Linked DNA regions of Arabidopsis thaliana. The protein of the gene in region 1 interacts with the protein of each later gene in a pairwise test. Each region holds a gene or a part of one and is shown on either strand. Other genes may lie near its edges. The genes, in order: MAD1 and SUF4.

Region 1 (16,771 bases):
AAATAGACTAAATAATTAGCCAACTTATTATAAAAGGACCATGTTTGTTTGAGCGACAAGCGCATGTTGTTCGTTTGCCTATTGCAAGCGACTACATACTGTCTTTGACGAACATGGCAAGATAAGAATCATTTTAATAAAACTTTAAGTGGACATATCAATTACTAAATGAATTTGATTAAGCAAAGATAAAATGGACATAAAAATACCAAGTGAAATGGATTTACCTAAAAATATGAGGACAATGTTGACGTAACATGTTTTTTATTTTTTTTGGTGGAATGGACCTTTGGCTACTCACAAACACCTATTTCAAGTACTATTGTCTTCTAATGTGGAGGATTGACTATTATCGTCCTCTAATGTGGAGGATTTGCTTGCAATGAGTGCAAAGTCGAATCCCCAACCATGAACTAGATACTTTATGTCTTCTGGTTTTAACGTAAAAGACATGAGAAGAGAAGACATACATACATGTACCTTACGTGATGAAGTTAATTAGGGAGTTGGATTATGTGCCGAAAGCAGTACGCATATCCCGCGATTGCATGATTCATAGTCTCCAGAAATTGATTAATACTATTTATTAAGGGCACCACGTCGACTATAAATTTAGCTCACATTGTTTTTTGATGGGGGTATGACTTAATTTCAGCGTAACTGATAGGGAGTTAGAAGATGTTTCCCAATAATAATAAAGCCCTGTTCGTTTCTCCATTTGACAGATCCATCCAACTAATCCATTCAACATGTTCATCTAGATGATTTATTCGACTCTTTTTCTTTTCATTTTTAGTAGGTTCCTTTAACTGGACCATCCGAATGACATGTTGTTCGTTTGCTTATCTCTATCTCCATTCAAATAATTTGTAATAATACAAATACCTAAAATACCAATGCTTTCATCTAATTATATTTTTATTATTACTTGTAAACATATTAATTTTAATTCTTAATCTAAAAAAAATTTAAAAGTAAATAAATTTTAAATGATAGTTTTTTACATTTATAAATTTATTTTACGGTTTTTGCGGGAAAACGTAATTTTACAGTTTTCACGGGAAAACTCGATTTTACGATTTTGGCGGAAAACAGAATTTTACGGTTTTGGCGGAAAACAGAATTTTACGTTTTTGGCGGAAAAACGTAATTTTACGTTTTACGTTTTTGGCAGAAAAATGTAATTTTACGTTTTTGGCGAGAAAACATGATTTTATGATTTTGGCGGGGGAAAATGATTTTACAGTTTTGGTGGAAAAACATGATTTTTGCGGTTTTGGCGGGAAAACGTGTTTTTACGGTTTTGGCGGGAAACGAAATTTTACAGTTTTGGCGGGAAAAAAACGATTTTGCGGTTTTGGCGGGAAAACGTTTTCTTACGGTTTTAGCGGGAAAACGGAATTTTACGGTTTTATCGGAAAATTTTGATTTTGCGGTTTTAGCGGAAATTTTTTTTTTATTTTTTTAAAAAATAATTGGAAAATAAGATTTAAGTCTATTTGTTTTTATCTAAAAAATACATCTAAATAATCAATTAAAATAATTAGGGTATTTTTGTCATTTGTTAATTTTGACTGAATCATCTACATCCAAATGATCCAATTAAGTTCAGCCAAATGAGTTTCAAAATTTAGCCTAAATTTTCAAACTCATCCAAATGATTCATTTGGATGGATCATCTGAATGAACCGTTTTTTGCACTAAACGAACATCAAAACTCATCTCCATCGAGATGATCCATCTGACTGATGAAACAAACAGAGCCTTAATAATAAAAAAACTGATTTAGGAAAACCCGTGAAATTGAGCTTTGCCTCCCATGTGGCAACCAAGGAGAGAATGATACGTTCTTATGGAGAGAGAAAGAGGCGATTTCTTTCTACTTTTTTGGGATGACGTGGCTAATTCTGAAGAGTTAATGACCTATTGAGAGTTTTTTTAAAAAGTTGATGTAGATAGCTTGAGAGTGCTCAAAATAACTTAGTAGTACACAATAAGTAGTAGTAAACAATTAGTAGTGTTGATGTGGATAGTAGTAGACAATTAGTCTTAGACCCAATTAGTAGTGTTGATGTGTATAGTAGTAGCCAATTATTAGTCTTAGGCCGAGAAAACCCATATCAAGCTGCAGAACTATGAGGATTACAAGTAGATCACCGAACTAATCCATGGCCGAAAAAGAAATGCTTCAATGTAGTAATAATCTTATATTCTTATTACAGAACTAGATTTTAACCCGCGGTACACCGCGGAGACAATTTATATTTTAAAGTTAGTATATATAAAAAAATTTAAATTGTATCTATCTATAAAATATTTTTATTTTATAATTTACAATTGTTATTAAGTAACGTCCTTCCAAACCCGTCTCGCCAAACCCGTCCCGTAAAAAAACTATTATTTTATTAATGTTAATCTTATTTATGATATGTTTATGAATCATTGTCTAAATATTTTAGTCGATGTGGGACGTTCAAATTCACACATTTTTTGCCAATTGGTTAATATATGTTTATTTTTAAAATTTTGAATCACAAAATATGACGGAAAGAATTGAGATTTTTTTAAACTCTATATATTATATAAAGATGTTAAAATTTATGATATATTAAACTTTTTATAATTTTAAATATTAATAATGTTTTATAAATTTTTAATATTTAAATAATAATATTTATTTTTTTTATATTTTGAACCTTTTAGGTAATGACATAATAACTCTAAAAGCAAGGATTTAGAAGATTTAAATTTTTAATTAAATATTTTCATTCCTAAATAATTAATGTCAGTGTCATGAGATTGTAAATAAGTTCAAATACATGATTTATATATTTAAACAAAAAATATTTAGTAAGAATAATATTTTTTTTAACAAAAAACTTTGTTTTAAAATATTGTTAACAAATATGTTTATGCTAATTTTAAGGGATTGACTTAAAGTTTGTTTGGATTAAATTTGATTGATAATGTGGTTGACAATTTCAATCAAGAATTTAAAATAAAATTAATTATTTTGGAAAAAAGATTTAATGCTAATGGCATTGAGTTGTAAATAAGTCCAAATCCAGGATTTATTTATTAAAATGGCTGAAAAAAATGTATATATAGATAATAGAGGTTTCCACTTTTGCTATGAAGAGGACTAGAAGAAATGCTCATCGATACCAGAAAATTGAGAAATTGGCCAAGAAAATCACAAACTTTTAAAATTAGCCAAAAAAATGTTCAAACTTTTCCATTAGAATTTTAAAAATACCAAAAAATTTAAGAAGCAGCCAAATAATGCTTACGATTTTATGACATTAACAATGTTTAAATAAAAAAGAGTTTTAGTTCTATGAATATGATACAATGGTTCTTACAAATTGATTACAAGAGCTTACATATTATAACATAATAATTTAAATTATTAACAATTAAAGATTTTTTATTTTAATTGAATAACACTACACTTTTAATGACTTTATAAGAGTACTAGATTTTAATATACCGCGAGATGATTTATTTTTTAAAAGTAATATATATTAAAACTTGCAAATTTTATTTTTATAAAATATTTATATTTTTACAGTTTATAATTATTATTAAGTATTTATATATATTATTTTTTTATTAAAAATAATAAATCAAAGATTTAACCTGTATTGAAACGGTGGATTAATTATATTTTACTTTTTATTAATGTTGATTCAAAAACCCGTTCCTCCAAATCCGTCTTGCCAAAAAGCCATTTATTTTATTAATATTGATTTTATTTATGATATAAGTCTGAATTATAATCTAAACATTTTAGCTAATAACATAGGAGTGCACCATATTTATTTAATAGGGGAATGTACCATATGACCCGAATGCACTTTTACCCAAATCCACCAAAAAAGTCTTGCAAAACTACTATAGACCCGAATGTACCATATTTTTTTGTGCTAATTTTTATGTGATTAAGATTTAATTGATTTCGTATATAAAATATTAAATTGTTTTACGAACTTATTTGTTTATAATTTGGTAACAGATAGATAATTGAATATTCAGTATATTTTGCTTCAGTTTAGGAAATCTTTAATGACCCGTCTTTAAATCCAATAAGCCCTATAATTAAGAGATGAATATTGTCGTTAAATGATTTTGGTAATCTTAATGATGTCATTAAAAGATTTTGTTTTTGATTAAATTTTTCTAATGGCATTGTCATGTAATTAATTACAAAAATTAAGGTTACATTTAAAATGTACTTCCCAAATAATATAGTAGGACGATATGCACTTTTATCCAAATCCACCAAAAAAGTCTTGCAAATATACTATAGAGATAAGAAACGATAGTCGGTTTTGATAGGTATATGATTAGCAAATATATTAGTTCGCTTAAATTAGTTAAAGAATACAAATTGAAAAGGTATATTACACTTTATTCGAATATAGTATCAAAACTTATATAGAGATTTGATAAATTTTTAATTGTTGAATACTTTTTTTTTGTGCTAATTTTATGTGATTAAGATTTAGTTGATTTCGTATATAAAATATTAAATTGTTTTACGAACTTATTTGTTTATAATTTGGTAACAGATAGATATTTGAATATTCAGTATATTTTGCTTCAGTTTAGGAAATCTTTGATGAGTTGTCTTTAGATCCAATAAGCCCTGTAATCTAGATATTAACTTGCAGTATACCGCAGGTAGGCTTATATTTTAGTTCAACTAAAAACTTTTATTGTAAAGATGATTTAAAAATATATGATATTATTTTATTTGATTTTAAATGTATAGTAAACTGTGAGTTGTATATATTTTTTGATATTATCTATATTGTTTAGTGTTTAAGATTATACACTTGTAGTTTGATTGTTAATTTAAGAGTTTCACCTGTAGTATACCATCTTGTATTAATATCGATCTAATCCCGTCAATTCTAGGATTTTCCAGCTTGTATTAAAAATTGAATCACATCTAATATGTTATTAATTATTGTAGTATATAAGATTATAAATTTTCAATATAATATGTATGAAATTGAATATAAATATTTCAAATTATGACATGTTACTCAGTAGAAAGTTTTCTTAAATCTATTTTTCACCCGTTATAATATTTTTTCATGTATTGAACAGTTTATATTCGTTTTTAAAAATTCAAATTATGGCATATGCGAAAAAACTCTAATTATTTTTCTATAATGATGATATTATTTTTCGGCAAAAATAGAATCATATAAAGATGAGAAGTAAACTATAATAATTAATAAAAAATTAATATGATAATTTAGATATCAAATCTAATTTGTTGATTTTAATTGGTTACTTTTTTGGGAATTAATAATGTATTTTGTTTTTCTAATTAAATTAAATTAATTAAAATTTAGATATCAAATCTTATATGTTGATTTTGATTGGTTATTATTTTTGGAAATTAATAATGTATTTCGTTTTTAATTAAATTTAATTAATTAAATTAGTATTTGACTTTTTAATCCTCAAAGAGATAAATTAATTTACTCTTTAAAATTTTATTTCTAATGACATACCTATGTAATTACTTACAAAAATTAAAGTTATATTTAAAATGTACTTCCCAAATAATATAGTAGGATGAATCTAATAACCCAAAATTTATAAAGATTTAAATTATAATCAACAGTTTGATCATCTTGTTCATACAAAATTTCGTATAAGACATTAATTAACAAAGCAAAAAATCATATATCAAAATAGACACATATTAACAAAGGATTAATAATTTAATAGTTGTGAAAAGCCTTTCCAGTTTCTTCCACGGCCTAGCTCCTCCGTCTTTACGCTCTCTCATCAAACTCGAGAAAAAAAAGTGGCGCCTCTGCAATTTCAATTTTCAAATCCTAATAATTTTTCTCTCGCTTCCCGGAGAACGGAACCCTAATTTCTCGACGCAGACATGATTTTGAGAACTCCGCAGCCGAAGAGGCTCAGGTCCGACGCCGGAGAAAGCCCCTTCCCCACCGGCGCTACTGGTTCCGGCAATCAGCTAATCATCTACGAAGATTCTCCTCTTCCTGCTCCTGCTCCGCTACAAACTTCTCATGATCATTCGGCGGATCAACATCTTTGCACCTATCAATGCCGCCAAATGGTCACTACTTATACCTATCTATCTATATCCCCTCACGAAGATTAGCGAATCTGAGGTTTGTTCTTGTTGTTGTTAGGTTAAAGCTGATGTTCTAGATGCCTTGAGCACAGCAGAGAAACAAGTTGAGGAATCTAAAACCAAATTACAGACTCTTAATGCCAACTTCACCGAAGCAGGTGAGAGATCGTTTGTGAATTCGAAATTACAAAGGTCTTGATTCCGAATGTCTCTGCTTTAACTGTTGTTAACGAATTTGATTTTGATATTCTACAACAGATGCTGAAAGAAAGCATTTTCGAGATAAATTCTTATACTCAGAGCAAGAGCTTGCTGCTGCTAAAGCGCGTGAGAAAATGCTTCAGGAGCAGCTTCTTATGGAGATCAACAATTCTCAAGAGCGGTATACCAAAGAACTACAATCTTGCCATGAACTGGAGGTTGATCTAACTATTAAATTGACTTGAAATTTCTCGTTTTACTTGGTGTCATTGGTGCCAGTATCATTAACTGAATCCTTATAGGTAAAACTTCAAAATGAAATGAACCTTCGAAAGAAAGCGGAGTCTTCTGCTGCAACAGCTGAGGAAAAAGCTAAACTTTTGGAGGATAAACTAACTCAGCTATCTGGAAGTGTGGACAGGGAGAAGAAACGTCTCAACAATGATATTGCTCAACTGGGTAAAGAAGCAAAGCTTTCTGTGGCTAGGATTGGTGCAGATGTAAGTATCGATTAAGAAACTTGATAGCTTGACTGAAGTTTTGTTTTTGGTTTCTCATGCAATTATCGTATTTGCACCTGTTTTCCTTTGCTTTTAGCTTGAAAGGATGCAATGTAGGGCACAAAATGCTGAGACGGAATCAAATCTTTTAAGATCACAACTGGAGCATCTTAAACTGATATTTGACGAGGTAAGCTATGTTTGACGTGCATCTTAGATAATAATAACACCAGTCATAAGTCATCATTTGCTTTGGTAATTTATTTTGCTTTCTCATATGATTCTTTTTATGCAGTGTTTGCAAGAAAAGACTGAAGTAGACAAGAAGCTATCGTCATTCACTTCGGAGGCAGCATCTTCTTCAGATAACAGTGTATTGGTTAAACATCTTCAGGAAGAACTTAAACGCTATGTAAGTTTTACCAGTTCTTAGTCTACCCGAGTAATGATTTTACAAAGTTGTTACATAAGATGAATCATTTATTGAAAATGAGTATGAAAGTGGTCAGGACATTGATCATAACTCTCTGTTTTATTCACCAATAGAAGCTGTACTCGTTCTTGATTACCATGAGAAACTTTGCATTACATACCCAGAATCAATGATTTCTATTTTCTGTTGATTACTCTCATAAGCAGCAAATCACGGAGAGAGATTATGCAAGTTTTTAAACACTTGAAATTTACTCAAAACACTCGTTAAATTTTTTTTCTTAAAATGGTCGTCTTATTTACTTAGGCTATCTAAGACAATTCATAAGTAAAAGAGTTTACTTTTCAAGAAAAGTGAGGTAATATAGAATGATGTATTTTTCATGTAACACTAGTTATGCAAGTCAAATTTTAATTTGATCGTAAATTCGACTCACATACTTTTCATCATTTGAAGACATGTACTATTTGTAGATTCTATTTTCGACTTCTATACTTTCCATGTAATATCTATTTAGTTTTTGTTTTTCTTGTCGATTTTGATTCTTGATAATTGTATCAGGAAGCTGAAGTGCGAGAAGCTAGAAAGTTAAAATCACGGCATTTAGATGCGGAGTTGTTGAATGTGAACTTATTAGAAGAACAAAGCCGTAGGGAGAGGGCAGAGTCAGAGTTATCAAAATTTCATGACTTGCAGCTAAGCATGGAAAAGTTGGAGAATGAATTGTCCTCTTGGAAGTCATTGCTAAATGACATTCCTGGTGTGTCCTGTCCTGATGACATAGTTATGAGATTCTCGGTGCTACAGAAGTATGTCAACATGATCTATACAGAATTTATCTTTTCACTAGAGTCTTCTTCTGATATTGTTTCAAATAATTATGCCTGCCATGAAATATTCTGTGCGGAGAGACTGAGGTAGTTGTTACGGGGCATTTTCCTGACTTTATAGGTGAACTAGATAGTATTTATCAGAGACATCTGTAACACCACTTTGTCCAGATATGGCTTTATATTTTACAGATATTCTGGCTTGCTAGTCTAGCAGGTCTAATGTGTCTGTGAGCATCTAGAGTATTGATTTCTAGTTTACCAAGCACTCTGAGTTAACACATGTATCTATGATACTTCCTAGTGACTTGTGTTTCTGCCTTTGAAGTGAGGTGGTTCAAAGCACTATGAAGATTGGGGAAGCAAGTACCCGTATTAAACAACTGGAGGAGACACTGGAGGCTATACAACTTGGCAGACAGAATGCTGTAAGTGAGGCTGCATTAGCGAAAGAGAAATCTGAGGCTCTCAAAACAGACGTGAAGAGAATTGAAGTAATGGTAAGTTTGAAAATTGTTGCTGGTGCTCTGTAAGGGGTCACAAATGCACTTTTATTTTGCTGGCATCAATTAAAGCCTCTTAAGTTGATTTTTGATTCTCGAGAGATAAAGGATAGCATTTTCAATTGGTGACACTCAAATGCTCATCATTTTATATTCATTATTCTTGTTTATTGATTGTTTGCTTGGTTTCTCTAGGTTCACTGTCTTTGCTTGGATATATACTAGCTCAGCTCTGTATTTCATGTTGATTGTTGATCTATGCATTCATAAGAAGCTGATAGAAGTAATATAGTTAGAGACGATATTCATAGGATAATATCCCTAGTATTTTTGGATGTTCACGTTGGGTTTGTTATCAATTAGTACAGATTTAATATCTCTATATATGTGGGGAAAGTCTGTTTGTTCCTAATGAGTGTATTCAATTGTTAGATTTTGGTGCAAATTCCTTCGTATCCAAACATGAGTCTATCACGAATTTATGATGAGTTGATTTATCCATAATATAGTGTCCTTTCAGGATAAGAGATAATGTGTGTAGTATAGAATTTGTTGCAAACAACTTTTTATTTAATCATGAATCTATCACAATTCAAGGGAATTAAGTTTATAGTGTCTCATTGGAGGTAACTTTTTATAATTTTCTATCAGTTTGTTGCACTATTACTAACAGAGCTTTAATTTGTAATAAAGCTCACTTTGGTCACGGAGGAGAAAGAACAGTTGAAAGCTGTTGTTAATGAATTAAGGAAGTCAAACAGTGAAGGATCTGTGTCTGGAGCCGCAGATGGAGCCCTTATTCAGGTTCTAGAATAACACAGTTCTTATTTTGAAGATTTTCCTTCTTTTTTGTTGGAAGCATAAAGCTTATTTTGCTTATATATACAGGGGTTTGAATCTTCTCTTGCAAAGAAGGAGAACTATATTAAGGATTTAGAGCAGGATCTAAATCAACTGAAGGATGTCAATAATCGTCAACGTACTGAAATAGAACTTCTAAATGAGAAACTAGTTGATGAAGCAAGGAGGAATAAGTCGCTGGAAAGGGATAGTGATCGTCTTCGCTCTGAGATCTCTTTACTGGAGTCAAAGGTACAGATGCTAGAGATGTGTGCTTGTAAAAAAGATTGCCAAAGAAAATATTTGCTTATGGAACTTTCATCTGCCATGGTCGAAATGAATAATAAAAGTTTTTAAGGGTGAATGGCGAATTTTATGTCCTGCATCTTATGTTTTTCTTAGGTTTCATGGAAGATTTTATTATTGTAAAAGCGAATAGAAATGCTATTTAGGACCTCTAACTTCTACCCTAGAGTTTGATCTGAACAGTAACATATATTTGGCAGCTGGGTCATGGTGATTATTCTGCCGCAAATACAAGGGTTTTGCGCATGGTGAATACTCTTGGTGTTGAAAACGAGGCAAAACAAACAATAGAGGCTTTACAAGCTGAGTTACAGAAGACAAAAGAAAGACTTCAAGCTGTTGAAGAATTAAAGAGCCAGTCTGGTAAATTTCTGATTGTCGACCTTTCCTGTTTTTGATACTGAGTTTGCTACAAGTCTACCATTCAATTTTACTCTCACCACAAAATTCACTGGAGAAGCATACCTTAATTTCTCTGTGACCCTATTCTCTACATCATATTCTATGTTTCCGAGAATAAAAGGGAGGGCCAAAATCTTTCTGTTGATCTGCCTCCGGAGGACTTGAGAAGAAATATTGTAGTGTTTCAAAAATGTTATTCTTATTTACTAAATATGCTTTACTGTAAATTCTTTTTCATGAATATTCAGGAGATGCTGGGAAGCTAGTTGACTCTCATATAACTGGAAAGATTGCTCAACTAAAAGAGCAAAATGCTACGCTTGAAAAACGTGAAGAGAGGTTTGTTACTGATAAATGTTTAACATGTCCTTTGTGCAAATATGACCTTGATTTCCCATACTAAAACATATGTGGAGCCTATGAATTATGAAACAGGTACAAAACTGTTTTTGCTGATAGAATTTCCGTGTTTAGAAGGGCTTGTTGTGAGCTTTTTGGTTATAAGGTATGCCACTTGCTCATAATTATGTCGTAGCACTCAAATTTTATTCTTTAGCATTACAATGGTTCCCTGAAGGCAATGATTCTGGATATTTCAGTTTTCTGAATGTTGACTATCACATTGTAAAATGTAATGTTCGTACTTTTGTCCATTTTTTACGGTCTATGAACTGCGCGTTTCTGTTGCAAAGAGGGATTCAGCTATTGCTATCTATAGTTTTCCTTACCTTCCGTTATTCGTGTAGATAGATGATCAAAGAGTCTTATTCATCTACAGAACTTGTAAACTTGTGAATTCCTTTTGAAAACTCTGGCAGATTGTAATGGACGAACATCAGCGTCCCAATGGAATCCCAGTGACTCGGTTTACTCTCCAGTCTATATATGCTCAAAGTGATGATGAAAAACTCGAGTTTGAATACGAGTCAGGAAACACCAGTATTCTAGTAAGTGATTCTTGTAAATTGTATAACTTTGATATGCTGCATTTGAATCAGTTAATCAACTGATACTGATTTAATTCCTTCAGAACAATGAGTATGCCTCTCAGGGCGACATAGCGAAGCAGGTAAAGTACAGACATAGTTTTCTTCCTTCATAAGCGCAGTGTTCTCAGTGAAGTGTAAAAACTCATTCTGTGTGTTTCTTGCAGATAGAAATATTCATCAGGAAATTCAACTCGATTCCAGCTTTTACAGCCAACTTAACGATGGAATCATTCAACCGTCGGACGCTATATTGAGAGCACTGCGTCCTTATTTCCAACTCTGTGTTTTGTATATTTCTAAAGCCTGCTGAATAGAAACTGAAACTCGAAAGCCGCAGCTTAAAACACTGGCCTTATCTATGTCTACCTCTGGTTCGTTATGTCTGCTATAATTGTGGTGTCAGTAACTCTATTTTGGTATGAAAGAAACTAGTTTCGATTTACTCAGAAAGAATATCTAATGTCATTCTCTGATTATGCGTTTATTACTTTATAGTCACCAAAAACAGTAACACTTGAATATCAAGCAAACAGATTTTTATATAACCATGAATTTAAAACACAAATAATACACAGACTACCTACATGTAAAGAAGATTAGAGCAAAATTGATATCGACTTATAATATAATTACATGTTTAGTTTTTATTTATTGTTTTGAATAAATGTTGTGAAAACCAAAACCCAAAAAAAAAAAACTTGTATCACCTCATTACACAATCATCCTTCCCCTGCTTTTCCATAATCAATCTCAACGAATAATTGAAATAAATGCCTAAGTGACATTGGTCATCTGGGCTTTTAATTTTTTGATATTCACATATTATTACATTGTAGATCTTTAGAGAACTCTCACGTACTTGTTTCTCCATTCTTTATTACCTGCAAGAACAAGTGCCAATTGGATTTAGAAAACAATTAGAGCAACCAAATGCAGGCAACAACGAAGACTAAACGGCTAACCTTATTCACTTGAGGGGATCAATGTGAGGGTAGAGTCCCAGGACATGTTCCGGCATGAAATCATGCCTTGTCAGTATTCCAACAATAGGCGGTCTCTGCAATACGAAAACATACGCGTTAGAAACATAAACAAGTCTAGCGAGAGGAAGAGAGAGCGAGAAAGAGACTGACCCCTGGTGTTTTAGGCACCACACACAAGTGGCGAAGACCAAGTTGCCGGAAAAGAATAGCCGCCTTAGCTAGAGACAGAGTCTCAAGCACAGTGTAAGGAGATGTGTTAGTGATGGGATGGAGATCAACATACATCTCCATCTCCTCCTCACTTAGATCCAAATCTTCAATCTTGAGCCCCTTACCTAACCCTGCTTTACCAAAGTCACGGGCTTTGCAACTTCTCAGAATTTGTGAACCAAAAGTTGTTCTCTGCTTCGAGAATTTCTTCCCTTGGAGAAGCACAAGGAGATGAGATCTCAAGGCAATCCCACATAGCTCAGAAGCTTCTGTGAAAGGTGGCTCATCAATTACAGGGAAACCATTATGTCTTGTCATTTTTAAAGCCTGCCATATTACCCCAACCTTTTCAACTCTCGAAAAGGATATCAAAGCTCCAGAAACTACGTCCTTTGCAACCAAATTGCGCATGTACGGCTCTGCATGGTCTTCCATGTAAGGCAGTCCTTTCATTGTTACAATCTGGTCATAGACCCCCCTGTTGAAACAATCTGCAACCGTTTTTGATATAAGGAGTACAAGCATCACCAGTGGCAGCATTAGGAGATTATTTGTAAGTTCGAGCAGTATAACACATAGAGAGACCGTCATTCTCATTGTGCCTCCAAGGAAGGAAGCAGCTCCGAGCAGAGAAAACAGACCTACATCAAGCTGAGATACTGGACCCAGCAGTCTACCCACTAGTCGTCCATAAGAGGCTCCAGCAAGAATGACAGGAATGAAAAGCCCAGAGGGTATGGCTATGCCGTATGTTATGATGCCAAGGCAGTACACTGCGACAAAGAAGATGGCAAGGGTAGAGATATGGAATTCATTTTCAGATCTGGATGTGAAAAGATTACGGATTGCATCATCATTGGTGTTGAGAAGTAGGGAGGAAAGGTCATTGTAATGGTTTGGAGGACACTGGAAACTCTTATAGATGCTGGATCGACCTACACTAGGGCACTTTCCCTCCTCTATGCCAATAGGACATGGAGTACACTGTGAAAGCCATGGGAGACCAAATGCGCAACACGAGCTCAAAATGGAAACTGCCATTACAAGCATAATTTTAAATCTCGGACCTTTCCTGCAAGTTATGGAAAGAACAAATTAAGAAAATCGAAAAGAGGCAAAGAAATGATATTATGAAAGAGTAACTCGTTGGAAAATGACTTTATGAAAGAGTTAACTTGTTGAGAAATGACGTACTCGTTTATAATGCTATATGTGCGGAGGACTTTGTCCACAAGGTAGTTGTAAAGGCTTCCAAGCACACCACCAATAACTCCAAGGAATACTATTGCTAGCAAATCTGGAGTGCTATATAGCACTGGTCCCGAGTTTACATCAAACATGATGAGACCTCCTTTCCCAAACAGTCCACATCTCCCAGAGCGACAGAACTCAATCAAACTTCGTAAGACCACTGCTACAACTGCGGTAGTGAAGAATGTCCTCCAGAGAAGGGCATTCCTCCACCTAACGATATTAAAAAAGTGAGACATAATCTTTTCCAAATGGATATAGCAATATACGCAAACCGTCTAAACTCTACACTATGTATCACTTAGATTTCCTCGCTCACTAACTTCCATTTGCATAAAGAAGTCATGTTGGATACATTATGTTTTCAACTAGACAAACATGGTGACCTTCTTGCACTTTTGCATTAAGACTTCTAGCTGGGGAGAAGCTTCCCCTTTCAGAGTCTGTCTACTACAATGACTAGACTTGCATAAGGTATCACTCCTTGGATTAGTTATAAGGAGTTAGAGAGAAACAGAAAATACCATGAAGCAGCTTCTTCAAGGGCGAAAAGCACTCCTCCAACTGGAGCACGGAAGGCAGCTGCTACACCAGCAGCAGCCCCGCAAGTGATCAGGTCTCTTCTGTCTCTATCGTTTTTGAAGAATCTGAGCCACTTCCAAGTCAACCGGTACTTTTTGGAACCACCTTGTCCAAGTAAATTAGCAATGCAAGCACCAGTATGAACCATAGGCCCTTCTTTTCCAACTACAAATCCGGCAGCAACTCCAAATATAGAGCCAAAGATCTACCAATACGAAATATTTCGTATCAGAAAAGGCCACAGAGATGAACAAAGACATCAATGCTAAATTCAGGATGAACAAAGACTGCTTGGAAAGTTGTTTGGGGATCTTACCTTAACAAAGAGGGTGCTTGGAGCTAATATTGAATAAGCATCTATACCATTGAGATATGCTTTAACCTCAGGTATGCCAGATCCTGCCGCCGCAGGAGCAATAAAAGCACAGAGTGAAGCAGCAGCAGTTGCCAAAATTAAGTTACAACCAGCAAATGCAAAAAATGCCTGGAAATATCTGCAGTATTTGAGAAACATCCGATGTCATTTATCATTCTGATCCACACATATATCCCTGTGAGCCTTAATTCTCATAACAGTATTAACCATTAAGAAATTTAGATATAATCAGTGAATAAACAGTAACTGAAACAGGATAGAAAGTGCTAAAAAATGGCGTAGAAGCAGAGATAAACAACAAAAGCTAGACTTACTTTTCCTTGAGCATGAGATTACCGATGAGCAAGAGTTTAAATCCAGCTATATTCTCAACACCAAGGTTATTCAAAAAGCCAACAAGTCCAGTAGCTAAACCAATAAGAAAAGCAAGCGCCCATTTGAGAAACGTATACTGAAGTATCTCAATCTTCTTCCTAGACCTCCAGTCTTGCTTGAAAAAATCATTTTCGAAGATCCTGCCAAATAAAAATCCCAAGTCAAGATCCTGATATGTTTACATAAGCTATAATCATTCACACCAAATTAGGCAAGACACCAGTAGGAGACACACACAAAGACAAAAAGTCAAATTCAGTCTGAAACTATGATTGCATCATCATAAAGACCCCAAAAAGATTTGCACTTTTCTCAATCTAATAGATTGTATAGCATACCTATTGCTAGGTGAAGTGGCTATGATGTCTCTCAAAAGCTAAAAGCTTCAATTTTTACCCAAAAGTATTAAAAATGAAAACATTATGATTTAAAAATTATACATGGGATGGGACCCAAAATGTTACATAATCCAAAACTTCATAGACTCATAATCAAATTTGAGATGAAGTTTAAAAACTAATCGAAAACATTTAAGCATATTAAAGTCTAATTGCCAAAGTTAAAAACTTTATCCAGAAAAAAGAACGAAACATCAAGTTATGTGCAGAAGAAAAGAGAAGAGGGAGAAAAAGGACAGACTCGTAATCAAGGCTTTCGATGGGACAAGTATTAGCTCCGACAATAGCGATCTGAGAAGTTGTGTTCTTTCGATTCCTAGCGAGAAGAGGCTGTCGAAATCCGACAGATCCATCGTCTAGAATCCCAGATATCTTCCTCTCGAAACCATGTAAAGCTCCTCCTTCAACCTCTATATCATGATGGTCTCCTTCGTGCCGATCATCCATCTCTCCTCCACGATCTTGTTTTTTTAAGAAAATAAAATTGTTTGTTTTCGATTTCCGATCAGATTACAAAGCCACAGAAATGGAAAGCTATATAATTGGGCACGAGATTCCTGGAATCATGAACCTCTCGCGCTCAAGCAGATGCTAAAAAGTCGATTTTTTTATTGTTTTTTTTTCTTTTTTGTTTTTTTTTGAGGGAGGTCGTAGAGTGGTATGGGTCAGGAATTTTGTTTTTTTATTTGATCCTAATTTAGGCAAAACTAAACTCTCTTTCTTTGTTATGATTTTCATAAGGATATATTCTTCTAAATAAATAAAAAAGTCAATAACAAAAAAAAACTTGCATAAATAAATTATCTAATTATGAAAATTTTCATAGTATTGTTTTTGCCCAACAAATTTGTATACAATCGTGATATTTTATGGGGGAAAAAACTATTTGTTTTTTATATATATTATTTTGAATTGATTTTTCATAAATAATTTCTCTCAAATTTTACAACTGTGTCCGATATACTTATATAAAAATAATATATGTATATTTTTTTCACATGATCTTGTAAAGTTTGTTTTGATTCTAACTCAATTACAGATATTTTTGAAATCTTACTTCTCATGTGTGTTTATTTAGTTTCTAGATATGAAAATTTTGTTGTTAAAATTTTATAATGATTTTTAGTTCCCAAAACTGGATTTCAACAAGAAACCAAATGAGCCCAAACTAGGGTAGACATCGTCCAATTATACGAACCACTGTGTATTTGCCAGACTTGTTGAAACATCACACAATTCAAGAGAAGAACAAAATCTATTGGATTTAACATTAAAACCAAAACAAAAAACAACATCTATTGGTTAGAAAGTCTTTTAAACTTTTATGAGAGGTGGCTACTGGCTAGATCCAATCAAATTAAGATGTCTTTGGTGTAAATCAGTTGATCCTTCTCTTTTTTTTTTTTTTTTAGTTATTAGATCAACAAGGTATGCATTCACTTTTTAACAATTCTTCTTATTCATG
Region 2 (14,419 bases), on another chromosome or scaffold:
TATTTCAAAATCACATCGTATGAACGTCTTAGAATATATCTCGCCCACTGCCAATATTGGTTTAATATTGTATCAATAAAATTTTCTTAATAATTTAATTTACAAACAAAGATGTACGTATATTATTACACATGTACATACATTAATTTACCAACAAAAATATACGTACATTACACATATACGTACATAATTTTCAATATGAGGAACAAATATTATTTCACCATCTATATCTATTTAACTATTATGTATGTATGGAGATTATTGAGATATAAGAATACGTAATAAAATAGCTTGACTTATTAGAAATCGTACCATATACGTTCGACTAAATAACTTTGTGTACGTACACTGTAAATTGAATATACGTACACAGAAGAAATTTAATGAAGGGTATAATTGTAATTTTTCAGTCATCTTCAACCTGTGTATCCTTTTCTGCAAACCTAATTTTGCGGCCATCTTTAGCTGTTTTCTCAAAATCTCATTTTTATACGTTTTAATTACTATTTATATATAAATCTTGTAAACCTAGAGTATCTTTAGTTTAAAAAGCTAAATTGTTTGAATCTGTGATTTGTTTTTGCATTTTGTTCATCTCTGAAAACAAGAAATTTCTTCCTCAATTTTGGAGTTCAATGGAGAGATGTCGAAATATGAAGAAGTGAATAATGAAGTTTGAACTTCTTTCTACTTCTCTTTCAAATCTCTCCATCTCTTTCTCTTCCTCTTTTTCTTCTTCTTTGGTTTCTTCGTTTCATTTTTTTTTTCTTTTTTTCTTAAAACTAAACCATAGAAACTAAACCGAAACCAACTGCTGTGGGGTTTGGTTGATCCCATTAAGGGTATTTTGGTCTAAAAACCATTTAAAAGACAAATGGTGAAAACCACATCTCACTTTGCCAAATCAGGAGAGCAATTTTTTTTTTAGCCACTTCTGTGAAAATTTCTTTAAAAATTATAGTGTGAAATAGTTAAACTAAGTCCTTCTTTTTTTTTTTTGGTTTAATGTTAAACTAACTAAGTCCTTCTTGCGACATCATAAGTTTAATATAGAGGTGTCGAATTAAACTTAGGATGTCTCCCTTTAGATGCAGCAACATCTACAAAACAAGATACTCAACGAACTGGCAAGCACTATTGCACTAATTATCTCCGTCTCCAGTCAATGGCATGATCAAGTCGATCGAGAGCTTTATTGCTCGTTATGTTTTCCAAGCTACATTATACACAATCTGGTGCGAACGAAATGGCAGAAGGCATGGAGAGAGAGAGGCCGAACCAGCCGCTCTTCTAATAAAATTGATTGATAAGCAAGCCATCTTTCCTCAATCAGAGCAACTGATGATCTACGCTATGACAAGAGCCTCCAAATCTGGTTTGCATCGAGTGGTTGAAATCAAACCATCTATAGTTCATGTGTTTAACCTTTAATCAAAACAAACATTGCACAAGTTGTAGAAAAATGTAAAAGCTTCGGATTTAAGCACATAGAAACGGCAAAACAAGTGAGAGCCAATTTTGCTTCAATAGGAGAAACGTAGTAGTGGCAGTTTTATCTTAAATGTATAAATTGAAACAAAGTGTTTTTCTCTTGAAGCTGAAACATAGCTGGTTCACTTTTGTCTCATGTAAATATGGTCATATATATGGATTTTGCTTTATCCACAAGGTATCACACTTTGAAATAACTAAAGTCAAAAATATGAATCAAGAAAATCAATAAGCCGCTACATGTCACTTCCAAAATTATAAAATATGAGATTCGAATCTAAGAGGAGTCTTAAACTGTTAAACAGAGACGTGTTTACAGTCAAGAGAAATTTATAACATGGGACAAATTTTATTTTATTTTATTTAATAGCGTTACAAACTTACAATGATCATATTACATAAGGAGGATACAGAAGTAGAAGAAGAGCTAGTTTAAAACTCCCAAGAGTCCAACACTGATTCATGACTTCATCGTCTCTTCTATGTCTGCGCTTCCACTATACAAATCAGAACCATCGATTATTTTAACCTTTAGTTTTTCCAAATAATCTCTTGAGTTTAATTTGAAAAATAATATTTTCAAGACTATATGTATACCTAAACAGTGACAATGATGTTTCTAAGATTTAAAACACTTTATTACCGAAATATATCTCAAAATTTCACTCTTTCAAAACGTTATGTTGCTATTTTATTTTTCACCACATTTTCGAACATTAGCATACCGTTTAATCATTTGAACACTCCATTGTTAATCTATTATTATTATTACACTAGTCAAACTTACTTCAAATTTATTGATACAAAGGGGAATATATTTTATATAGTTAGTAAAATTCTCAATAATCATTAAAATAGATTTTCTTTGACATATTTCCAAAATTGTTAGATTTTTATTTTTTTTTTACCTTCTGAAAAATGGTGACCTAATGTACGACGAGGTTTGCCGGGACATCGACGGTAACAATTCTGAAGGCACTTGATCGGAATTATTCCTGTGGTGGCACAATCTGTAATGCAATCTTCATGGCATTGAGCTCTCGTCTCTCCATTGACATTTTCCATTGCTATTACCATTGTCACCACAAACACCATTATGATCATTGAATTCCATTTAGCACCCATATCTTTAACTTTTTTGTTGTTGCAAGTGTTTCATGTACTTAAGAAATAATGAATAGCTATCCTCTATTTATAATCTTTTCTAATAGTTATCTAATTCTTAGCTCTTATCGTCTCTTCTTCTTATTTGTTATAGGAATTGCTCTTCTTTTTTTTCTGGTCAAAGTTTCTTTGTAATAGAGACTAGTTACTTTTTTTGGTTACTCTTCTTCTGTTTTTTTCTCTATTTATAATATTTTCTAATAATTAAGTAATTCCTAACTCTTATCGTCTTTCTTCTTATGTGTTATAGGGATTCCTTTTTCTGGTCAAAGTTTCTTTGTAATAGAGATTAGTTATTTTGTTGGTTAATCTTCTTCTGTTTTTTCACACAGTATGTCTATTTTAAGTTAATTATGTCAGAAGTGGGGTTTGAACCCACGCCCTCTTACGAGGACCAGAACTTGACTCTAGCGCCTTAGACTAGTTACAATGGTTTGTTGTAAACCATTTTACAACTGGTGAAAAAACAAATTCCACTATAATGGTATTTTGTAATTGAAAAGTAGCTGATGTGGCAAATTTAGTGTTGATAAATTTTAACATCCGTGAAAGTAGAAGGGAGAAGATAAGTGTGACAAGTGTTATATTTTGATTGGTTGCTTTGATTTCTAATATTTTTGTTTCATCTTAATTATATAACTTCAATTATTTCATAATATTTATATATATTTATATATATATAATTTATATAAAATTTTATAAATTTTCATTCTCTATAAACAGAGACTATTTTCATTTGATTTAAATACAGAAAAAACCATTTTTAGACCCAAAAATAATGTATAGGTTAAAATATGAAATAAAAATGGTGGGGTAAGGTGTTGTAATTTTATTAAACAAAACTATTGTAAGATTAAAAATTATGTAGGTGTTGAATAATGATGTGGAAGAGAGAGAAAATAATGTGGAGTGTTAAAAGTGAAAAAGTGGGTGTTATAAATAGGTAATCATTGTAGATAGTCTTAGACTACTCGGCCATCCTAACGAGGACCAGAAGTGGAATAATATGATTATGTAACTTACTAAACATTTTGGAAAAATATACAATTAAGCAAGAGTTTTGGGTTCTTTACGAAATATTACACAAGAAAGTACCTTTTCTTATAAACACAAGAGAGTAACCATTAGCTAAAATGTACAATTAAACAAACATTGCACAAGTTGTAGAAAAATGTAAAAGCTTCGGATTTAAGCACAGAGAAACGGCAAAACAAGTGAGAGCCAATTTTGCTTCAATAGGAGAAACGTAGTAGTGGCAGTTTTATTTTAAATGTATAAATTGAAACAAAGTGTTTTTCTCTTGAAGCTGAACATAGATGGTTTCACTTTTGTCTCATGTAAATATGGTCATATGGATTTTGCTTTATCCACAAGGTATCACACTTTGAAATAACTAAAATAAAAAATATGAATCAAGAAAATCAATAAGCCGCTACATGTCACTTCCAAAATTATGAAATATGAGATTCGAATCTAAGAGGAGTCTTAAACTGTTAAACAGAGACGTGTTTACAGTCAAGAGAAATTTATAACATGGGACAAATTTTATTTTATTTTATTTAATAGCGTTACAAATTTACAATGATCATATTACATAAGGAGGATACAAAAGTAGAAGAAGAGCTAGTTTAAAAGTCCCAAGAGTCCAACACTGATTCATGACTCATCGTCTCTTCTATTTCTGCGCTTCCACTATACAAATTAGAACCATCGATTATTTTAACCTTTAGTTTTTCCAAATAATCTCTTGAGTTTAATTTAAAAAATAATATTTTCAGGACTATATGTATACCTAAACAGTGACAATGATGTTTCTAAGATTTAAAACACTTTATTACCGAAATATATCTCAAAATTTTACTATTTCAAAACGTTATGTTGCTATTTTATTTTTCACCACATTTTCGAAACATTAGCATACCGTTCAATCATTTGAACATTCCATTGTTAATCTATTATTATTATTACACTAGTCAAACTTACTTCAAATTTATTTATACAAAGGGGAATATATTTTATATAGTTAGTAAAAATCTCAATAATCATTAAAATAGATTTTCTTTGACATATTTCCAAAATTGTTAGATTGTTTGTTTGTTTTTACCTTCTGAAAAATGGTTACCTAATGTACGACGAGGTTTGCCGGGACATCGACGGTAACAATTCTGAAGGCACGTGATCGGAATTCTTCCTGTGGTGGCACAACCTAGAATGCAATCTTCATGGCATTGAGCTTTCGTCTCTCCATTGACATTTTCCATTGCTATAACCATTGTCACCACAAACACCATTATAATCATTGAATTCCATTTAGCACCCATATCTTTAACTTTTTTGTTGTTGCAAGTGTTTCATGTACTTAAGAAATAATGAATAGCTATCCTCTATTTATAATCTTTTCTAATAGTTATCTAATTCTTAGCTCTTATCGTCTCTTCTTCTTATTTGTTATAGGAATTGCTCTTCTTTTTTTTTCCTGGTCAAAGTTTCTTTGTAATAGAGACTAGTTACTTTTTTGGTTAATCTTCTTCTGTTTTTTTCTCTATTTATAATCTTTTCTAATAGTTATGTAATTCTTAGCTCTTATAGTCTCTTCTTCTTATCTGTTACATGGATTCCTTTTTTCTGGTCAAAGTTTCTTTGTAAGAGAGATTACTTACTTTGTTGGTTAATCTTCTTCTGTTTTCTCACAGTTTATTTTAAGTTAATTTGAGATTAAGTTAATTTGAGATTTCATTGGACAAAGAAAATTAACTCTTGAAAGAATAAAAAATTATGTCAGAAGTGGGGTTTGAACCCACACCCTCTTACGAGGACCAAAACTTGAGTCTAAGGCCTTAGAGCATCCACATTGGTCACTTATATGTAGATGTCTTTAAATATAAAACTATAAATAATAATAATAAAAAAATTATGAATGTTTTTAGTTTGAGATTTGTGTTTCTGTAGAGACACTTTAAACACAACAAAAGTGAAATGTCTTTAATTTTATTATTTATTTATACTAAAAACATCTATAAAAAGTTGTCTAATGAGGTTGCTCTTAGACCACTTGACCATCCTAACGGATAACATAACCAATACTAATAGTATCATTATATAACTTACTAAGCATTTTGGAAAAATATATAATTAAACAAGAGTTATGGGTTCTTTACGAAATATTACACAAGAAAGTACCTTTTCTTATAAATACAAGATAGTAACCATTAGATAAAGTAAAAATAAATAAAAAACAGAGAATCTGAAGATCGTAGAAGAAATCGAGAAAACGCTTTGTACCAATTAGAAACCCTAGCGAGCGGAGGAAGGAGACAAAGAACGAGACTTTTGAGAGATTGGAGATTTCAATTTTGAGATCAAATCTTGAAATCAACAAATAGGAGAAAGATTTAGTGATGGGTAAGAAGAAGAAGAGAGCTACAGAGAAGGTGTGGTGTTATTACTGCGATAGAGAGTTTGATGATGAGAAGATTCTTGTGCAGCATCAGAAAGCTAAGCACTTTAAGTGTCATGTCTGTCATAAGAAGCTTTCTACAGCTAGTGGCATGGTGATTCATGTTCTTCAGGTTCATAAAGAGAATGTTACAAAGTATGTGCCTTTTCTTTTTACCCTTTCCCTATGGCTCTTTTTGTTGTGTTAGGTTGATTTGGAATATTAGGGTTGTTGCCTCTATGATCTTTGTTCAAGTTCTGATTTTTTTTTTGCTCTTGTTGTGTGTGATTGTCGTTTGATTTCTGTTAGATTGCGCTAATTGTGACTGTTGTGTTGTGGTTTGAATCGGTTGATTGTGTATGTTTGCTGGAATTTGAATCGTTTTTTTGGATTATCTCTTGAATGGGTTTGGTTAATTTGTATATGTCTGGTCATAAACCCTAATTTCTGATTGCAATTTTTGTAAAGAAACAGTCTTTTGCTTTTGCTTTTGCTTGATAGGTTTTTCTTGGAATTTGTGGTACTGTTCAATGTGTTTGCCTGTTGAATTTGGAATTTGATTCCATGACACTACTAACTTTGAAATTATCTACAATTTTCACACCAGAGTTCCTAATGCTAAAGACGGTCGAGATTCAACTGATATTGAAATATATGGAATGCAAGGAATTCCACCCCATGTCTTGACTGCTCATTATGGAGAAGAAGGTATGCATTTGAGATAGTGAGAGTACTGTTTAGATTATGAGCAATTGATTTAGAGAAGTAAGGCGATAAATTTGTATGTCTCTTCATCAAGTGTTGTAGATCTATTGCATCTAGTGGTCATGAATTCGTTTTGATTTTGCATGCGGCTTTTTGCCTTATCAAAGTTATTATATATTATTGTTATGTTTGCTTGTTTCATATGGTACCTTTTGAACTGAAGTCATGTTTTCTGCAGAGGATGAGCCTCCAGCCAAAGTTGCAAAAGTTGAGATTCCTTCTGCCCCTCTTGGTGGTGTAGTTCCTAGACCATATGGAATGGTATATCCGCCTCAACAAGTACCTGGTGCTGTACCTGCACGACCAATGTATGTACTAATTATACTATACTCTCTCTATGGCCGTTACTTGTTGAATTCTTAGATGTTGTCTCTGTTTTTAAAAATCCGATCCATGCTAAATGATGGGGAACTTTTTTTCTTTTAGTTCTCTTGATGCAAAAGGTTCTTGGTTTCTTTAGTTTGTCTCTGTCCTAGAACTTTTCTACTTTTGTTCTTCTATAAGACCACTATAACACCCGTAGTAAACATTTTTTGAAATAGATCGTTATCTAAGATATTGTTGCACTTAACCAACTATGACCCATAAGGTTCTTAGTTTCCCTAGCTTGTTCTCGTGATTTTTCAGGATAGAACTTTGTCCTAGAACCATTCTTTTGCTCCTCTTCAAGACCACAATAACACCTGTAGTAAACAGTTTTTTGAAATAGTTCATGATCTTAGATATTGTAATATGTATGGCTATTGACCATGATAAAATATTTCGTGTTAGCAGGTATTATCCGGGTCCTCCTATGCGTCATCCTGCTCCTGTATGGCAAATGCCACCTCCTCGTCCGCAACAATGGTATCCTCAAAATCCAGCTCTTTCTGTACCTCCAGCTGCCCATTTAGGGTATCGACCACAACCACTTTTTCCTGTTCAAAATATGGGGATGACTCCAACTCCAACCTCAGCTCCTGCCATACAACCATCACCAGTCACTGGAGTAACTCCTCCTGGAATTCCTACATCATCACCTGCAATGCCAGTTCCTCAACCTCTGTTCCCTGTTGTGAATAACAGCATTCCTTCTCAAGCTCCACCATTTTCTGCTCCTCTGCCTGTTGGTGGGGCTCAGCAACCATCTCATGCAGATGCTTTAGGATCAGCAGATGCTTATCCGCCTAACAATTCTATTCCAGGTTCAATCCCAAGTTCGTAGAATCATTGACTTACATTTGGTTTAGCTGTTTTGTATCAAATTGTAATATCTTTTTCATGTTTTGTTGCCGTAGGTGGGACTAATGCTCATTCTTATGCCTCTGGCCCAAACACTAGCGGTCCTTCAATTGGTCCACCTCCTGTAATTGCAAACAAAGCTCCTAGCAATCAGCCTAATGAGGTCTATCTTGTATGGGATGATGAAGCGATGTCTATGGTTAGTTTATTCCTAATTTCTTATGCATCATGTTGGAATGGTTACAATTGGAAAAGTTTCGAGTAATGAACCATTTGGTTTTCCAATCTGACGCAATGTGTCTGTATCTGCAGGAGGAAAGAAGAATGTCCTTACCAAAATACAAAGTGCACGATGAAACCAGCCAGGTAAGTTCTGATTTACCCTTTTTAAAGTTAAGAAGAGTTTGCTTTTGCAAGTCTAACCCATTCGGTAGGCTTTATTTATACATTTCTGTTCCAGATCCTATTGTTTCTGTGCTAAGAGGTACCACCGTATTATTCAGTTTATAATTTCTTCCCTTAGAATATGATAAGAAGGACTTAGGCAAGAAACTTGAGCATTTTGAATCAATGTTCGAAAGGTATCATTTGTAGCTTGCAATAGTAGGTAGTGAGAAACATAGCGTTTGTATCTGTTTGTTTTTCATTATATTTCCTGTCTATTGTATTGTATTAAAAATGTGGTGATTGGTTCCACAAGATCATACTCTACAGGTTTGGTTTCAAACCCAGGTCAGCTCTTTTTATATTCTTAACTCTGCAAAGTTTGGTACCTTTGCACAATCTCACTGCCTTGGGGAACCAAAACAATACGCACTTAACTCTTTCAAAATAAAGCATCCAACTTCTTAACTCAACACCAAGTTTGTTTCTTTTGGTTTGCAGATGAACTCGATAAATGCAGCGATAGACAGACGAATCTCAGAGAGTAGGCTTGCTGGGCGGATGGCGTTTTAGAATTTGGCACCAAACCAAACCAGCGTCAAAGAAAAGGCGATATGGATGAAGGCTTTGTTACAACAACAAGTCTTCACTCACTTTTGTTCAGATACTGAATTTATGATCTGATTTTAAGTTATTAACTTTCCATCTGTTGTATTCTTTAGCCAGGTGAGTTAGTTTACCATTACATTGTTTAGGGATCTCAGAGATGTTTTTTCTCAGAAGTTTAGTCCTTTTTTTTTTTGGTCGTTGGAGACTTGGAGGAAGAACTTTGTCTCCTTTTCTTCTGAATTGATCAAAGTATTATATTATACAGATTCACCCAAAATGTTTGCACCATGTTGTTCAATATTTTGCCAAAACAAAATTGACTAATATTCCTTCCATTAACTGTATATTCAAACTCCAATTGATACGATTAGTATGAATTTTTGTTGTATTGCTACTTTGCTAGTAGTAATTATATCGAATACAAAGTTAGGGACTACGTTGGATTTGTCAAAAAGTGAGGGGCCTATCTGTAATATTGAGTTACTTTGTCACCACTTCCCCAAAACATCAAAACCTCTAAAACCCTCGGAAGCCTCTTCTGTTACATTTCGTTCAAATCTGTACTTCTCCGAGATCGCTACTTCGCCATTGTTACAAAAATGAAAGCTTTTAGATCTCTACGTATACTAATTTCCATCTCACGAACGACGACGAAGACAACACCTCGTAATCCCCATCAAGCACAAAACTTTCTCCGCCGATTTTACTCAGCGCAGCCGAATCTAGACGAACCCACTTCCATCAATGAAGACGGATCAAGCAGCGACTCTGTTTTCGATAGTAGTCAATACCCAATCGACGATTCCAATGTAGATTCCGTGAAGAAGCCCAAGGAAGCAACTTGGGATAAAGGGTACAGAGAAAGAGTAAACAAAGCCTTCTTTGGAAACTTGACAGAGAAAGGTAAAGTGAAAGTTGCAGAAGAAGAGAGTTCTGAAGATGATGAGGATAGTGTTGATAGGTCAAGGATTCTCGCTAAGGCTCTCTTAGAGGCTGCGTTAGAGTCACCAGATGAAGAACTTGGTGAAGGTGAAGTTAGAGAAGAAGATCAGAAGTCGCTTAATGTCGGCATCATCGGTCCACCTAATGCAGGAAAATCTTCGCTGACTAATTTCATGGTTGGCTCATTTCCTTAATTTCACATTCCTGTGATTTGGTCTCTGAGAATCAATTGAGACATTGTGTATATGTTTATGTAGTGCTGCTATGACTCTTGATTAGTCCTAAAGTTGCAATTTTTGAAGTGATTGTGTATCTTTGTTTATTGCATCTTGATGAGAGTTATGCTTAGTGTTTCGTTATGTCCAAGTGTAGGTTGGAACAAAGGTTGCTGCTGCTTCACGGAAGACTAACACGACGACACATGAAGTGTTAGGAGTATTGACAAAAGGAGATACACAAGTCGTAAGTTTTCTCTTATATATCTGTTGCATATGTAAACTACTCGTTATGGTTAGTTGTGGAGATCAGCCATTCGTAGATTGAATTTTTGATATTTGTGAACCTTGCAGTGTTTCTTCGATACTCCGGGTCTGATGCTGAAGAAAAGCGGATATGGTTACAAAGACATCAAGGCTCGTGTGCAAAATGCTTGGACTTCTGTTGACCTGTTTGATGTCCTCATTGTTATGTTTGATGTCCATAGGCATCTCATGAGGTTAGTCGTTTACTAGTTTTTGTACTTTGTTAGCTTTACATAAGTTATCTCGGAACTGAGAGTAGTATGGTTATGAGCATCATCATCAAGTGGGGTATCTTAGGGTGGGATTATTATTTCTAGCTTCTCTGTTTCGATATCTTTCATATCTTGTTCATCTCTCCGAGATTATCCATAAGCTTGAGAACCGTAAACCGATGGGAAGACACATCTATTTCTTTCTTTTGAAGAAGGCATCATGACTGTGGTTTTTCATTAATTACAAGTAGAAATAGAGTTCTCTTAGACTTATTTTGTAGTTTGTGAATTCTGTTTTCTCTTTGATTTATCTAGTCCCGATTCAAGAGTGGTACGCTTGATCAAATACATGGGAGAAGAAGAAAATCCGAAACAAAAGCGCGTTTTATGTATGAACAAAGTTGATCTGGTTGAGAAGAAAAAGGATCTATTAAAGGTTGCTGAGGAGTTCCAAGATCTTCCGGCATATGAAAGGTGGATATATATATACCAGACTCAGTTTAAAAACAATTACCGGGGAAGTCTTCGAATTGATTGAAATGTGCTTTTTCCCTGTTTGGTTTTCTAGATACTTCATGATATCGGGACTTAAGGGATCAGGAGTGAAAGATCTTTCCCAATACTTAATGGATCAGGCTGTTAAAAAACCATGGGAAGAAGATGCATTCACGATGAGTGAAGAAGTCTTGAAGAACATTTCTCTTGAAGTTGTTAGGGAGAGATTACTAGACCATGTCCATCAGGTAATAATACAACCTCTACTAGTATAACATTTTGTATCAGTTTCCGTCTATTCCAAGATGACAAATTACAGGATTGATTGAAACAAATTGTAGGAAATACCATATGGTCTGGAGCACCGTCTAGTGGACTGGAAAGAGCTGCGTGACGGGTCTCTTAGAATTGAACAGCATCTCATCACTCCTAAACTTAGCCAACGCAAGATTCTTGTAGGCAAGGGCGGTTGCAAGATCGGGTAAGAGCATACAAGATCGTTCATAATTCATTCTTTTGACTAATCAATGACTCAAGGATGATCTTATGTTGATGCTAATTTTGCAGGAGGATAGGAATTGAGGCCAATGAAGAACTCAGGAGAATAATGAACCGCAAAGTTCATCTCATTCTCCAGGTTAAGCTCAAGTGAAACCATTCTCCCAAGGGTTATGTTTTTGAGTTTGATGGATTTAGGATTGGATTGTACGCAATTAGAAATCTGTCTGTATATGTTGTTGACATGTTGTCAAAGATTAGACATTTGACATTAGAAATATAAACTTACTACATACAGACAGTAATAAGATAAAAGAAACAGAATTTTGAGAAAACAACAAGCAGTCTTAACGTCAGAAGTGGAAACCACAAGTAGTCTCTTTATCTTAAAGTCTAAAAACTAACAGACTCCAGGAAATGGAAGTGTTAACTGATCAAGAAGACTAACCACCGGTGTAGTAAGCACCGGGTCATAAGCAAAACCCTGCAAGACCTCTCCGTCTGAACCGCCACCTGAGCTACCGCCACCACTGCCGGAGTAAGGACACGGTGGGACCCACAGCCAGCTTTTTCTCACTATATCAAACAGCAACTGCAACGAGGTTCCTCTTAACACAATCATTACAAACTCTTGATTTCCGACACACTCGAATCCTTTTCCACCTTCTTCTGCTGCAAACTGTGTGTAGAGCGGCTGAGGCATCCGTTCGATCTCGACCCATGTGGCGTTATCTTGTTGCAAACTCCAAAGTCGTAGGCTTTTGGGAACGTTCAACTTGCTTTTCTCAACAGCTGCTACAAGAATAAGCCTCCCTTTGCTCTCTAACAAGCTTGGAGATCTGAGAAATCTCCTCATCGGAGCTTGAATCTTGATCCACCGGTTTCCAGTAACTTCATAGGACAAAACGCTAAAAGGGCTATAGTTCATACAGTAAAACTTGCCTTGCACGTAAACCATCTTACCAGATTCCAAGCTACAAAGCCGTGGCAAAGAAGAAGTCATCGCCCAGAGGGAAAAGAATCCGCCGGCGTCGACATGGAAACTCTCCGATGAGAGGTTTTTCACAGCGTAAGGAGATATGAGATCATCTCCAGCGACAGTAACATCAATAGAGGTTGGTGTTACCGAGAGACCTATCGAAGGGAAAAGCCTTGGCCTTGATATTGGTGGCAACTGACTCACGGATCCGACAAGAGGGTTACACAAGAGAATGGTTTTAAGACCAGCTTCTTCGGAGACCCAACTCACTAACCCTCCTGATGATCCTGAAGGATAAAACCCTGAAGGGATATAAGCAAAAGAGAGACGGTACCATCGGATCTCATTAGGATCAAACAAAAAGCCTTCAGCTTTATTGGAATCATCATCGTTTGTTCCTCCTCTCTTGTAAATGTAACTCTTTAGGGTTTTGTGTTTGAAGAAGAGGAAACAGTTGTGTCGGAGAGGAAGTAGTTGTAGATATGTCTCGAGGAAGGTGTTGGAGAAAAGTAGACTGTAGAATCTCTTGCAGACGCAACGTGTCCGGAAAAACGCCGGAGGTGGAAGAAAAGCAATGACGCGGTCAAGAAGAGGAGGTGGTAGCTTGCTCCAAATCCGACCGTCCATCCATTGACCGGAGCTTGAGTCTGTGGTGGTGCTCGTTGTTGTGCTACTGTTGCTGCTACTGGTAAATGTGTAAGAGAAAGGTAAGGTTAAAGATGGGTTATTGATGAACACAGTTGAATCCATTTTAGCTGAAAAATGAAAAGATTTGGTGAAAGTGGATTTAGAGTTTATTTTCTTGTGTTGGGAATATGTGAAGGGCTTTTGAGGAGGGTTTTGGTGAAAGTTATGCAAAACCCATTGTAGGAAAAGAGGCAAAGATCATATGTAAAAGTTTTGAAGAAAGAGACAAAAGTGTTTGGTCTTTCTCTGTGAGCTTCTTGCATGGGTTTTTGATATGTTCTTGACTTCAATAGAGTAAGGTGGCATATACTTATATATAAAGAACATTTGGTATAAAACAAACAAAGGTAATGGATTTATACAAATAGAAAACATATATTATATTGAATAGAAAAAGAAATAGTGTTTCTTTATTGTTAAAAAGGTATAGTAGTAAGTAAGTAGTGACACACCAACCAAAAAAAAAATAACTCAGAAATTTATGTTTATTTTCTATCAACGTAAAAGATTATATATGTTAATGTTTTAGTTGATAGCTTAGCTTACAGACGTTTTTCTATTTGTGTGCTGACAAAAAGAGATTGGAAGTAAAAAATCAGTTGATATATGTTGTTATTTTCTAAACAGAAATAATAAAATACGTCTAAAAAACTAAACCGGTCAAGTGGCCAAGACAAGAGAAATAGGTTTAATTCCAAATAATCTAAATTTCACAAGAAAATTGGATATATATTTTTAATATTAAAGTGTGTTTCGAATATATATAACGGATGTACTTTGTTATCATACGAACCTAGAACATCAACAAGCACAAGTATCCAAAAGCCTTGTTATAACCCCAGTTTGGTGATAATTATTGACTAACAAAATTTTGTTTGTATATGTGTGTGTTTGGGTAAACGTGAAAATGGTGGCAGAGGAAGTGATGGTCTTAAAGTTGAGAGCTTCAGAGTTATCTTGTCAATGCCCAGCATCGAAATTATTAATTTGGAGACTACTCCAATACTTTTCACAC

What was found.
Region 2: the proteins of MAD1 (region 1) and SUF4 interact in a two-hybrid assay, tested with the Arabidopsis thaliana proteins (one study listed by BioGRID).

What each region holds. Positions count from the first base shown.
Region 1 is NC_003076.8:20,276,391-20,293,161, forward strand, and holds MAD1 (mitotic checkpoint family protein), read left to right. Parts: upstream 1-5,720; 5' UTR 5,721-5,914; coding exon 5,915-6,109; intron 6,110-6,185; coding exon 6,186-6,285; intron 6,286-6,385; coding exon 6,386-6,546; intron 6,547-6,630; coding exon 6,631-6,828; intron 6,829-6,925; coding exon 6,926-7,018; intron 7,019-7,123; coding exon 7,124-7,240; intron 7,241-7,822; coding exon 7,823-8,070; intron 8,071-8,419; coding exon 8,420-8,591; intron 8,592-9,287; coding exon 9,288-9,398; intron 9,399-9,482; coding exon 9,483-9,686; intron 9,687-9,940; coding exon 9,941-10,103; intron 10,104-10,390; coding exon 10,391-10,481; intron 10,482-10,577; coding exon 10,578-10,647; intron 10,648-10,960; coding exon 10,961-11,089; intron 11,090-11,172; coding exon 11,173-11,211; intron 11,212-11,295; coding exon 11,296-11,385; 3' UTR 11,386-11,694; downstream 11,695-16,771. Other genes in the region: CLC-C (chloride channel C), read right to left, coding at 12,099-12,188, 12,265-13,396, 13,519-13,788, 14,100-14,362, 14,474-14,651, 14,848-15,048, 15,548-15,753. UniProt on the Arabidopsis thaliana protein: Required for the execution of the mitotic checkpoint which monitors the process of kinetochore-spindle attachment and delays the onset of anaphase when this process is not complete.
Region 2 is NC_003070.9:11,035,228-11,049,646, reverse strand, and holds SUF4 (zinc finger (C2H2 type) family protein), read left to right. Parts: upstream 1-5,873; 5' UTR 5,874-6,053; coding exon 6,054-6,247; coding exon of another isoform or gene 6,248-6,251; intron 6,252-6,698; coding exon 6,699-6,799; intron 6,800-7,034; coding exon 7,035-7,164; intron 7,165-7,630; coding exon 7,631-8,040; intron 8,041-8,133; coding exon 8,134-8,276; intron 8,277-8,389; coding exon 8,390-8,587; 3' UTR 8,588-8,962; coding exon of another isoform or gene 8,963-9,034; 3' UTR 9,035-9,372; downstream 9,373-14,419. Other genes in the region: AT1G30974 (Plant thionin family protein), read right to left, coding at 2,377-2,616; AT1G30972 (Plant thionin family protein), read right to left, coding at 4,737-4,976; AT1G30960 (GTP-binding family protein), read left to right, coding at 9,670-10,188, 10,385-10,474, 10,582-10,727, 11,061-11,219, 11,314-11,488, 11,582-11,721, 11,808-11,892; UFO (F-box family protein), read right to left, coding at 12,139-13,467. UniProt on the Arabidopsis thaliana protein: Sequence-specific DNA binding factor that recognizes the 5'-CCAAATTTTAAGTTT-3' sequence. Recruits the FRI-C complex to the FLC promoter. Required for FRI-mediated FLC activation, but has no effect on the expression of MAF1, MAF2, MAF3, MAF5, UFC and CO.